3 linked regions of the Nothobranchius furzeri genome follow. Each later gene encodes a partner of the first gene's protein in a complex. Links are inferred from orthologs where the notes say so. Each region holds a gene or a part of one and is shown in the gene's direction. Other genes may lie near its edges. The genes, in order: cc2d2a, tmem231 and b9d2.

Region 1 (3,653 bases):
TTGCTAACGGACAGGGACAAAGGGCAGATTTAGAGAAAATGCAACGCATTCAGAATCTTTTAATATACAAATGCTTCTGTAGTTTAATTGATCTCATCTTTAATCATAAACACACAAACAGACATGCAGTTAAAAACAAATGCTGAGAGTTTTGTTGTGCAGCGAATGCTGGATAATGTTGTTATCTCTGCTGTCTCTCAGCCGCTGAAGTCCATGTACGGTTCATCAGACCCCACGGGGGACTACCAGATCGATGTCAATGTGTCGGGGCTGATCTTCTCCCATCACCCTCTCTTCAGCCGTGAACACGTGCTGGCAGCTCGTCTAGCTCACCTGTTCGACCAGTATCTCACCAGGAGGCAGAGTAATCTCTCAGGACACCTCACTGACAAGGTAGACTTCACCAGATACTGTGGAGAGGTTACCACGGCCGTACCACAATGCTTTGACACAGCTGAGTGTTTGTGTCCGCTTTAGTTGAATGGTTTAAGGAATGCTTTGAGGAATGTGGTGAAGGTCCACGGTGATCAGGACCTCCCTCAGGCCCTTCAGAGGAGGATTTTTGAGTACAGCCTTGAAGTGAGGTGAGGTGGCTCATTTATGGGCCACTCCCATCGGTACCGGGCCGACCCGGGACCGATGGGAGTGGCCCATTAGATCCTAATATGTCCAGAAACATGTTGGACAGAGTTGGCAGAGTTTCCCATGAACGTTCCAGGAATACTCGACACCTGAGAGATATGGAGCAGGAGAAGGACAGAACTCTGCTAAAGAACATCATCAAAGTGTGGAAGGAGATCAAAGCTCTGAGAGAATTTCAGACATTTACTAACACACCATACAAGCTCTACCTCAGAAGGTAAGCTCTCCTGTTCCAGCCAACCCTGACTGAAAACATCATTTAGAAATTTCCTTCAGTTTTCTATTATAAATCTTAACAGAATTATGTTAATTATACTTATTGCAGCAGTCTGAAAGGTTTTCTATTCATACCATAAATGTGCTGCTTTGTTTCTTGATGCTTCAGAGAGAACGTGGACCTGGCTGCAGATGAGCACATGTACGAGGAGGAAATCCTGACAGAAGCTTTGGAGATAGAGGCAGAGCATGAGGAGGACTACCAGAAGAAGCTGGCAGAGTACAAGAAACAGCAGGAGGAGTGGAAGCGCTGGAGGAAGAAGCAGGTGTCTGACTACTGCTGCTGGAACCATCACAAACACCGTGGAGTAAAATAAGGCCAGCCTTGTTCTTGTAGGATTGCATATTTATTTTTGCACATATTTTTATATCCCATGTTTTCAGAAAGCCAAAAAGAAGAAGAAAAAGAAGAAGAAACGAGGTCAGACACAGGATGATACAGACGAGGAAGATCAAGACCAGGAAGGGAGCGAATCAGAAGGACCCTTTGAGGAAGGTCCTCCTAAACCAGAACCCCCCGAGAGGCCGGACTTTGACTCCATAGAGCAATGGGTGAGAGAAAAAGCCTCGAGGATACGCAGGAAGCCAGGAGAGGTCATTCTGACCCCAGAGCTGTCTGCATCAGGAAGCATCACACCCAGTGAACTCTGTCCCAGGTAAACCGTATTCATCACAAACTGCAACACCCCTTTAACTGGCACGTTTCATGTATTTATGGAAATGTTAGTCGATGGCATGAGAAGACTGCTTATTGTAGTACTTTACATGCTTTTATCCTGTTTGTTATGCTCTCTCGTTTAAGGGCTGAGGTTGCTCGAAGAGAAGATGTTTCCAAGCGATCGCTTTTCATCAAAGTCCTGTACAATGACAAGGAAGTTTCCCGAACAGGCAGCTGCTCCCTGAGATCTGACTTCAGGGTGCAGTTCACCCAGCTGTTCCACCTCAAGATCCTTAACTGTCCCCAGAGCATGAATCTGCAGGTGGAGTAGAGGAACTCTGAATGCACCGCAAGGTTGTTACTGCTGCAGCTGCAGTCTGTTTCTCATCAGTTCTGTGTGTGTGTGTGTGTGTGTGTGTGTGTGTGTGTGTGTGTGTGTGTGTGTGTGTGCGTGTGTGTGTGTGTGTGTGTGTGTGTGTGTGTGTGTGTGCGTGTGTGTGTGTGTGTGTCTGCGTGTGTGTGTGTGTGTGTGTGTGTGTGTGTGTGTCTGCGTGTGTGTGTGTGTGCGTGTGTGTGTGTGTGTGTGTGTGTGTGTGTGTGTGTGTGTGTGTGTGTGTGTGTGTCTGCGTGTGTGTGTGTGTGTGTGTGTGTGTGTGTGTGTGTGTGTGTGTGTGTGTGTGTGTGTGTGTGTGTGTGTGTGTGTGTGCGTGTGTGTGTTGTGTGCAGGTGTTTGAGCAGATTGGATCATCCTCCTCCCTCCTGGCTCAGGTGTTTGTTCCGGTACCAGAACCCTCAGTGGTTACAGGCAGCGCTCCTGTGGAGACGTTTGAGTTTAGCAGCAACCAAAGAGTCATGTTTGATCATGAAGGAGTAGGAAGTGGTAAATACTGTTGTTCATTTCTGCTTCACTCGCATATGTACAGTGCCGTGTAACATTCCTGTTCCCAACAAGTGTTCCTGTTAAGATTTACTAACAGGATCATTTTCAGTCAACTATGGTGTGCAGTGTCCTTAAAGTTCTCGTTCACTGAGAAACTATAATACTTGTTTTTGGAAACAGTCTGTCATGCTGAGTTTCACATGCAAGCTGATCATGAAAATAGTTTCTACCCCTATTTCCTGCATTACTCTGCCGATAGAAAACAGACTGTGTGGTAAAGCCGTACAGATCTACGTCACAGGGGAAAACTGCCTCGCCCTTCTTGGCTTGCCACCACCCACAGAAAAGCTGTATTGATTTAGCATCCAGGAGAGAGCAGAGCACATGTCAGCTAGTAGAAGCTAATCATTAGCATCTTCACAACGTGGCAGAACCTCTTCAGGCTTGTGTTGTTTGTGGAGAGAAATCATCATTTGTTACCCAAGTAAGAAGAAGGATTGAAGGCAGCAGAAGAGTCAAGTTACTGTTAGCCAATCAGAGGCAAGATGTTGGCATATCATGAATATTAATGAGTAAGTCTCCAAATCCTGCTGCGCCACCCACCCACACACACACACAGCTTCTACACTAAACAGCATACAACATTTTAATCCATACTGTAGGCCTCGGCAGATTTATAGAACAAATGATTGAATGAGAACTTTCAAAAATGAAGGCAGAGTCTGAAAGATCTTAAAACTTGCAGATTTATAGTTTAGGACTGTCAGAAATGATTGAACTAAGCAGTAGTTCAAGTCTCTTAAAGCGAGGTTTTGTTGAAATGTTACGATCGATCGACGTCTTACTTGTAGCTATGAACAGCTTCAGTTAGGAGTAACAGAGATTGGTTTTGACTAAACATTTACAAACGTTCCTAAAACTTCACAGCAGTTTATGCAGATGCTATTTTATAACCTTTACCATGCCATCATTTTTCACATTTGAAGTATTTTCTGGCTGAAATGTCATAAATTCAAGCCAGGAAGAAACTGGTCTCCTTAGTTTTAGAGTCACCGCTGAGTTTGATGTGAATAGCTGTTTAATATAAAATATATGGTGATGTAAATGTTTATGAAATAGCACTTACATGAGCTGCTAGTGTTTTAGATTAGTGTTGTTTAAAGATGACACAAACACTTTGTAATTGGCCCTACTCAT
Region 2 (4,331 bases), on another chromosome or scaffold:
TTACTGTCATGCCAGTGCACCCCACCCCCTGGACTCACCGGTACTCTGTCAGGGTATTTGTTGCGTATTTTGGCTGACTCCACACATCGGTGCTCTGAGGGAGGGACAGAAAACAAACAGGAAGTAGAGATTAAAAGGATGAGTGAGGCCTCTTGGGATTCTTCCTCTGCCATCTTAAAGCCAAGCCTTGTTCAACACAGAGAGCTCCCTGTGCACAGCAGACACTTTTCACACAAGATGCAGCACGCATAAAATGGATTATCAACTCTAACAACAATTTGTGATCAAATTAAGGCACTAGCTGCCTTTCACAGTGATTGTAATCATGATTGATGCCATTGTGTGCATTGATTTTAGGCAGGACATGCAGCAATGCAGAAAATGAGGCCCGGGGAGGGGAGGAGAGGTGATAGTTGATAAGGTGCAGGCTTTCATTAACCCAGATAAGAGGCCTACTTTGGATGTGTTTCTTTAAAAAGGTTATCCGGTGAGAGTTTCCACACAAAAGCTGAGTTACATAACAGAAATGGCTCCAATGAGATGTGAGTTCAGTTACTGTTAATGCGTTTGAAACAATCCTGACTTACATGTTCAAATTGTATTTTCATTAGGTCTCTTAGCCAATTAAAAAAATATAAGAATTTATTCTTGCTGGATTTGTTCTGACATTAGGTGTTTAGGTCAAACATTATCAAAAGGTGTAAACACACAGTGTAAAGACAGGAATCAGAGCAGATTCAGCTGATTTTGCTTTTAGGGCAACGATAAAGCGACCAAAAAGGGAAAATGGTTTCATGCAGCGAAATCGAATTACAGCAGTCGTGCAAATGGCAAAAAATAAAAGCATGCATTACTGCGTCTATGAGCGGTGGCATTGCTAAACGATGCGGGGACAGTAAAACAGAATAAGGTGGGATGACACGACAAGAGCATCTCTTGTTTCATAACAATCCAAACCCTTTTACCGAGGGAATGGTCCTCTTTAAACATCCATTTCATCTTTGCTGGATCCCCGCACTGAGGCGTGACGCGTAGAAGCTTCTAAATCTGCGGGTAATGTCGGCGAATTGTCCAAATATCCAGACAAACGCAATCAAAACAACGTCAAATTAGCCTTTCAGCTGTGCGTCTAGCGGAGAGGTGACGTCAACGTCTGACAGAGTGCTGCCTTCACGGGCTCTCCGGGAGAGTCGGTCTATCCGTGACTGAGTCCTCACACACATAAAACATAATGGTAAAGGCGCTTGTTTGTATTTCTGTTATTTTCTAAAGAACAGAATAACACATACAGTCAGAATGAGTAACATCATAAGAAAAATACCTAATAAATGATTTCCATAATCTCTAAAAAATGCCCCCAAGACAGTCTGTGTAAATAGTTTCTCTACACTATGTTCATCAAAATTAAAAAGAGTAGCAGACGCCTCATAAAATAGCAACATTTCCACATCTGGAAAAAAGGTTCCCGTACTCTCAAACGTTGCGTGAACGCAGTCTGGTCGTTGGCTGCCATGGTAACCGCCAGACGCCTAGCTAACATGGCGTGGGATCCCGCACCGATAATCACAGAGGCTAACAAAAATAGCATGTTAAACGCCAAATTTCGTGATGAATATGTCTTTATGGGGCTGCTTGACTCCACATTCAACTAGATGGACATTGCTTTATATGAGTTAAATATGTTTGTGAGCTTTTTCTCTTATTAGACCCGAGTTAGCATCCGCGTTAGCGGTTAGCGTTTAGCTAGCGGGTACTCATGGCTTTTTATGAAGTCTACTCTCACCCGGCCGTGGTTCGGTACAAAACCAGTGTTTGTACAACAGCTACCTTATTTCTGGTTGTTGTTTTATGCCTTACGTACATCCCACCGCTGCTGGTTGCATACAGGAGTCAAGGTACAGTAACGGTCACCAGAAAGCTTTTATTAACTGTTCATCGTGTCTCCTCAAATGTCCTACGATGTGTAAATCCTCAGTTACAGAGACAAGAAGTAATAACAAATGCTTAGGTTCACCAAAACCTCGGGTTTATGGAGGGAACAAGTCTTGTAAAGTTTATTGAAGGAAGGTTTACTGAATGTTTTTTATTATCTTATTATAATTTTGCCCTTTTTGTATTTGTTACCATCACAAAGATATTTAATCTGACCATCAAGTGACTGCAGAAAAACCAATCCCAGATTAAATTCACATAATGATAGAATAAAATAACAGGGATATTTACAGACCAACTTTTCATGCTTTTATACTGTGATGTGACTGAAAAAAAATACAAATAAAATATGCATTTATTGTGATTGATGAGTGAAAGTTTCGTAATTAACTTGGAGAATATTGCAGAAACCTGCAATAAAAAGCCTCAGTTTTGTGTTTGAAATTATTTCTTTTAAATAATGATAAACGAACCTCACGTGTACAGCACCTTTCAGAGTCGGAGGACTCCAAAGCTCTTTACACTACAGTGTTTCATTCATCCATTCACACACATTCACACGCTGATGAGCTACATTGTATCCACAGCTGCACTTGGCCTTCCGATTACTGGACAACCCGCTGTGCCTCTTGAGCTGCTGGTCCAATATTAGAGAGGCATCCATTCTGGTTTTTGAGATTGATACAGGTTTTCAGTTCTTGTACAGATCTGACCAGCAGGTGCTGAATATCTTATACTTTAGACAACCCCAACTTTTGCTAAATCATATGGAGAAACTCTGAAAAGCAGTTATGTTCAGCAACAAAGGCTGCAGAACTTTAGTTGATCATCTTTGAGCCAGAAACCTGCTTGTGCAGCTAAGTCTCATTCTCATTTTACACATACCTCTCAGTAGGTAATTTGCAGTTTTTTTTTTACCCTGAAGGTATTTAATTCTCCAAGTAGCTTTCTACAGATTCCCACTCTTAACCCTGTTGCAAAACAAAACTAATAAATCTGGAAAACTCATCTAATATTTACCAATCAGCATCCATTTTGGCTCATGTGATATTTAGACACTGCCAATAAACTAGTTCACTTATTGAAAACATACACAAATTTCTCTTAAAATTAAGAATTTTTTGCATTAAGATTTGAAAATGTGCTCCATAACTTGTGATTTTAGCACGACCAATAAAGCAACATGGCAACGTCAAGTTCTTGTCAATGTCTGGAAATCTCACTTGTGTTAATCCACCAGATTTTACAGGAAACGTTCCTGTTCACAAACTTAATATGGAAACAAAAACACATGGTTTACTCCGCAGATCACCTTAGCTTGTGAGATTTATAATCTCGACAACAACTCGAGAGCTTCTTTACAAAACCTTCAGTTGCTGAGATGATAAAGTTTTATAGCAGCAATAAAAATAAAAGAGTAACTTACCTGATAACAGTGCTTTCACACATTGTTTTACAGCATCTAGTCTAAATGACAGCTTTGTTTCTTTTTTTAACACACCACTGACTGTTTCCAATTGTCATTTACCTAAAAAAAACAACGTTTAAAATATTTGACCATGTTGAAAATGATTATTTTGGATGTCAAAGACATTTTCATGGAAGAGCTGTTATTGCCCGTGTGAATTAGCTTAGTGGACGTTCACGAGAAGATGAGGTGGAGAAAGGAGTTGAGTGGAACTGTATCTGACGCTCTGAGCAGATAGAGTTCACTGCTTTAGTTTCTTCTCATTTCAGGTTTCTGGATAAAACGAAGCATTTACGAAGAACAGCCGGTTGTGAGGTTCCAGTACGAGACTTTGCTGTTAGCAGCAACCAGTGCTCAAGGACATTATGTTGCCTGGAGCACTTTCCCTTTCCTTAACAACATGCTTGGGACCAACCTACGTATCCCCACTATCTCTGTAAGAAAACTCAACGTTCCTCTCCCTTAAGTTATTTCTGAATCACTGGTAAAATCTCTGCAGCTTTGATTTCATATTTTACACCTAAAAGGCTGAGACTGACTGCCAACCAGAGCAGGATGAATACTGTTGAAGTAAAAAACATGCTGGTGCTCAGCCAGCCAGCAGTGAGTCAGAACACAGAAAATTCACATAAAAGACTTAATAGGTGCTTAATATTTGTGAAAGTGAAAACATAAAGAAACCAGAAAAAGCTAAAACACATTTTTACTCTAAAGGAGGATCATTCATTTCCACGAGTCTCTTGTGCCTCTGCAAGATTGTCTTTTGTAATTATGTATTTTTGTTTTGTAAATGAAAATTGTGTTTTGTTTTCATAAAGGTGAGAGAGGAGGACCTGAACCAGGATGGGAAACTGGACCGTTTGAACCTGCAACTGCAGCTTCCGCTGAAACCTGATGAACAAGTTTACAGCATTCAGCTGCTGCTCACCTT
Region 3 (3,145 bases), on another chromosome or scaffold:
CAATACTGTAAGATTTACCTTTAAATACACTTCAGATAAAAATATTAGACATATCTTCATACTTCTACTCTTTCTTGTGCACTCATCAATACATTTTTTATACATCTCGAGCTCACCCAGCATGTTCAAAGAAAGAATGAATGCACTCTCTGCTGTTCTTGTCCCATAGCTTTATAGTTCTATCATCACTGCAGGACACAATTAAACGATCATCTGGAGAAAACCTGGAGAAAAGCACATTAAAATTTTAAAATTAAACATTTGAGAGGAAAAGTGTAAAAAAAAAAGGTGAAAACTTGACATCACATATTAAATTTTTTAAACACTTGTACAACACTTTACTCATCATTACAAATATCACAGGGAAACTTGCATGGTGTGGTATTAAATGGGAGTGTGTGTGTTTCATACTTGGCACAGCGGACCCAGTTGATGTGCTGGTTAAGAGAGAAGAGGAACTTCTGCCTGTGGACCGTCCACACTTTGATTGTTTTGTCATTAGACGCTGTGACCAGGCTCTGTCCATCACCGGAGAAGTTAACACAACGCACAGTGGCAGTGTGAGCCCTGAATTCAGTTGAATCAGCCTTCCTGCAAACACAAAAGGTATTATTCATACATAAAGCAGACAAACACACTGTTTATTCAGGGCGCTGGTATGATGAAATTAGAGTAATCAGCAGATCTTGTTCTTTTGCCTTTAGGAATCCACAGCTTTGTCTTGAGTGATAATTTCTGGAGAAACTTGATGAGAAGAAAACAACATAAAATGCTGCTACGTATAAACTTACATGCTGGGCACCCAGAGACGTACAGTTTTGTCTCTAGAGGCCGAGGCCACAAGGTGACCAGATGGAGAAAACTGGACAGAGTTTACAGCTTCTCTGTGTCCATCGAAACGATAAGCTCTCATCTGAGGCTTCAAGTTCCAGATCATCACACAAGAATCCATAGAGCCTGTGACTGAGAAAGGAGGAAGCACAAGCTGGTTGAAGCAAGAGATTGGTATTAACTACAATGTGCACACAACAAACTGGATAACAGGTGAATATATAGACGGACAAAGGCTCAGATCAAATAATAATAATATTACCAATTTGTTTCATGTTGCGGCTGAAGTCCACACTTGTCACGACGTCCCTGTGACCCTTGAAATTTCTCTCTAGGGTTGGATCAGACTATGATGAAATCAACAGAGATTTTCAATTATTTTACAAGTTTATGTTTGGAAATTATTTTTTCATTTGTTTTATGACCACTTTTGTTATTAAATGATATTTTCTTCTTTTTTGTATTTTATGTTTTATTTTTTATGTAATTTTCATTGAAGAACTTCATGATTTTCTTTTCTACAATAGGTTCTATATAAATAAATTTTACTTTCTTTAGTTATCCATTGAGTTATATAAAAGTTGCAAGATGAACAGTCATCAGGAAAAGCAGGAGAAAGCATATCTAAATAAATAGCTTTTTAGAATTTATAACCTTAAAAAATAAAGCACCATTGAGATGTAAACAATACATTAAAAAGTACAGTGCACTTCATTTGCCATCTTGTTGAACTTGCGCTGTTAAATAGTTATTCGGAAAAAAGTAAACCAGCGGTTCTTGTATACCCTTTATTCAGTCTTTCAGGTATGATTGTAATTTATGTAACAGCTGCTTCACGTCATTAATTAAATTGGTTAAAATTCGTAATTAGTTTACTAAATTAAAGGTTAAGTAATATTTTTTTAGCAAGAAGATATAAAAATGTGTCTCATTTGCCTTCAAAAATAGAACCAGCCCTAGACAGGAAGTGCTGCCTGACAGACTCTGCTCAGGGAGTGCTGTATTAAGAGCACACTATGGCAGGCTGGGTTACCAAGGAGACGTGAGCTGCGTTTGTTGCTCTGTAGCCTTTGATAAAAGCGGGCTCCGTGTGTCGCATGTTCTGGTTAAAGCGGACAGCTGTGAAATGGCAGAGCTTCACATTATAGGACAGATCATCGGGGCCAGCGGGTTTCCTCAAAAAAGCCTATTTTGCAAATGGGAAGTTCATACGGGGGGAGCATGGCGTCTTCTCTCGGGGCTGAAGGAGGGTCAGACTCAGGTGGATTCCCCCCACAGCGGAGAAATGGCTTACTGGAGCCACCCAATTGATCTGCACTATGCGACCAAAGGTCTCCAGGGCTGGCCGAAGCTTCATCTGCAAGTGTGGCACCAGGACTCATTCGGCCGCTACCAGCTGTACGGATACGGGTACTGCCACGTTCCCTCCAGCCCCGGACATCACCGCATAAGCTGTGTGACATGGAGGCCGCTCGGCTCCTGGCAAGAGCAGCTAGCACGAATATTTGTCGGCGGAGGCCCCCAGCTCCGCAACCCGGATCTGATTTACAGTGGAGCGGACAGATACAGACTGCACACCGAGGCCATGGGCACTGTGAATCTGGAGCTGGGCGTCATCATAAGACACTTTGACAAACATGGCGTCGAGAGCTGAGACGTCAAATAAGAATGTTGTATTGATTGTTTTCTTATAAAAAGTTTGTTTTGTCGCAAATGCCTTTGAAAAATTACACACGGCAAAGTTTTGTACATTTCTATGCTGATGTTTTTACACCTGAAATACAGCTATAAATAAACACTTATCATTGAAGTTGGTTTCTTATTCATCTACCGTTTACCATCAATCCAACTATACCTAATATTTCATATTTGTAACGTTATGAATATTTGAACATGTGTGTGTGTGTGTGTGCGTTAACCAAAACAAGTAGTCTACTACAAATCAGACACGAACTTCCTCAGTTGCTACAGTAACAAGTGCTAGCCAAACTCACCAGTGCAGAAGTCATTTTTCCCGGTATTTAGCACGTACACCCGAGTAAAGAGGCTCGTTGCTGCTTTGGCTATTATGACCGAAATACAATTGTTCTCAACTGTGGGTTTTGAAATGAACAGAGGGAGGAAAATATCGCTCCGGTAATTGGAATTGTTTTTTCTAATGCTAGCTGCTAACAACAGAGTTCAGTTTACGCGCCGTGATTGGGCGCTGAGCTGTTGGCCAGAGTCCTTAAAGGGGACGCTGGACATTAAAGGACGTTTGTGTCGAAAAAAGACTTCAATCAAATGTAAAAACGATGAATAACAAAATAAGAAG

Evidence for each region.
Region 2: cc2d2a (region 1) and tmem231 share a complex: the UniProt entries of both Homo sapiens proteins name them as parts of the tectonic-like complex. The link is inferred for Nothobranchius furzeri from reciprocal best matches to the Homo sapiens genes CC2D2A and TMEM231.
Region 3: cc2d2a (region 1) and b9d2 share a complex: the UniProt entries of both Homo sapiens proteins name them as parts of the tectonic-like complex. The link is inferred for Nothobranchius furzeri from reciprocal best matches to the Homo sapiens genes CC2D2A and B9D2.

The regions. Positions count from the first base shown.
Region 1 is NC_091748.1:39,034,518-39,038,170, forward strand, and holds part of cc2d2a (coiled-coil and C2 domain-containing protein 2A), read left to right. Parts: intron 1-201; coding exon 202-393; intron 394-477; coding exon 478-584; intron 585-718; coding exon 719-859; intron 860-1,027; coding exon 1,028-1,184; intron 1,185-1,302; coding exon 1,303-1,574; intron 1,575-1,720; coding exon 1,721-1,898; intron 1,899-2,302; coding exon 2,303-2,456; intron 2,457-3,653. UniProt on the Homo sapiens protein: Component of the tectonic-like complex, a complex localized at the transition zone of primary cilia and acting as a barrier that prevents diffusion of transmembrane proteins between the cilia and plasma membranes.
Region 2 is NC_091744.1:86,200,605-86,204,935, forward strand, and holds the start of tmem231 (transmembrane protein 231), read left to right. Parts: upstream 1-1,523; 5' UTR 1,524-1,756; coding exon 1,757-1,895; intron 1,896-3,669; coding exon 3,670-3,836; intron 3,837-4,218; coding exon 4,219-4,331. Other genes in the region: gabarapl2 (gamma-aminobutyric acid receptor-associated protein-like 2), read right to left, coding at 39-94, 966-999. UniProt on the Homo sapiens protein: Transmembrane component of the tectonic-like complex, a complex localized at the transition zone of primary cilia and acting as a barrier that prevents diffusion of transmembrane proteins between the cilia and plasma membranes.
Region 3 is NC_091743.1:62,503,163-62,506,307, reverse strand, and holds b9d2 (B9 domain-containing protein 2), read left to right. Parts: upstream 1-1,519; 5' UTR 1,520-1,957; coding exon 1,958-2,485; 3' UTR 2,486-2,641; downstream 2,642-3,145. Other genes in the region: poc1a (POC1 centriolar protein homolog A), read right to left, coding at 117-224, 412-591, 792-963, 1,094-1,178, 2,826-2,840. UniProt on the Homo sapiens protein: Component of the tectonic-like complex, a complex localized at the transition zone of primary cilia and acting as a barrier that prevents diffusion of transmembrane proteins between the cilia and plasma membranes.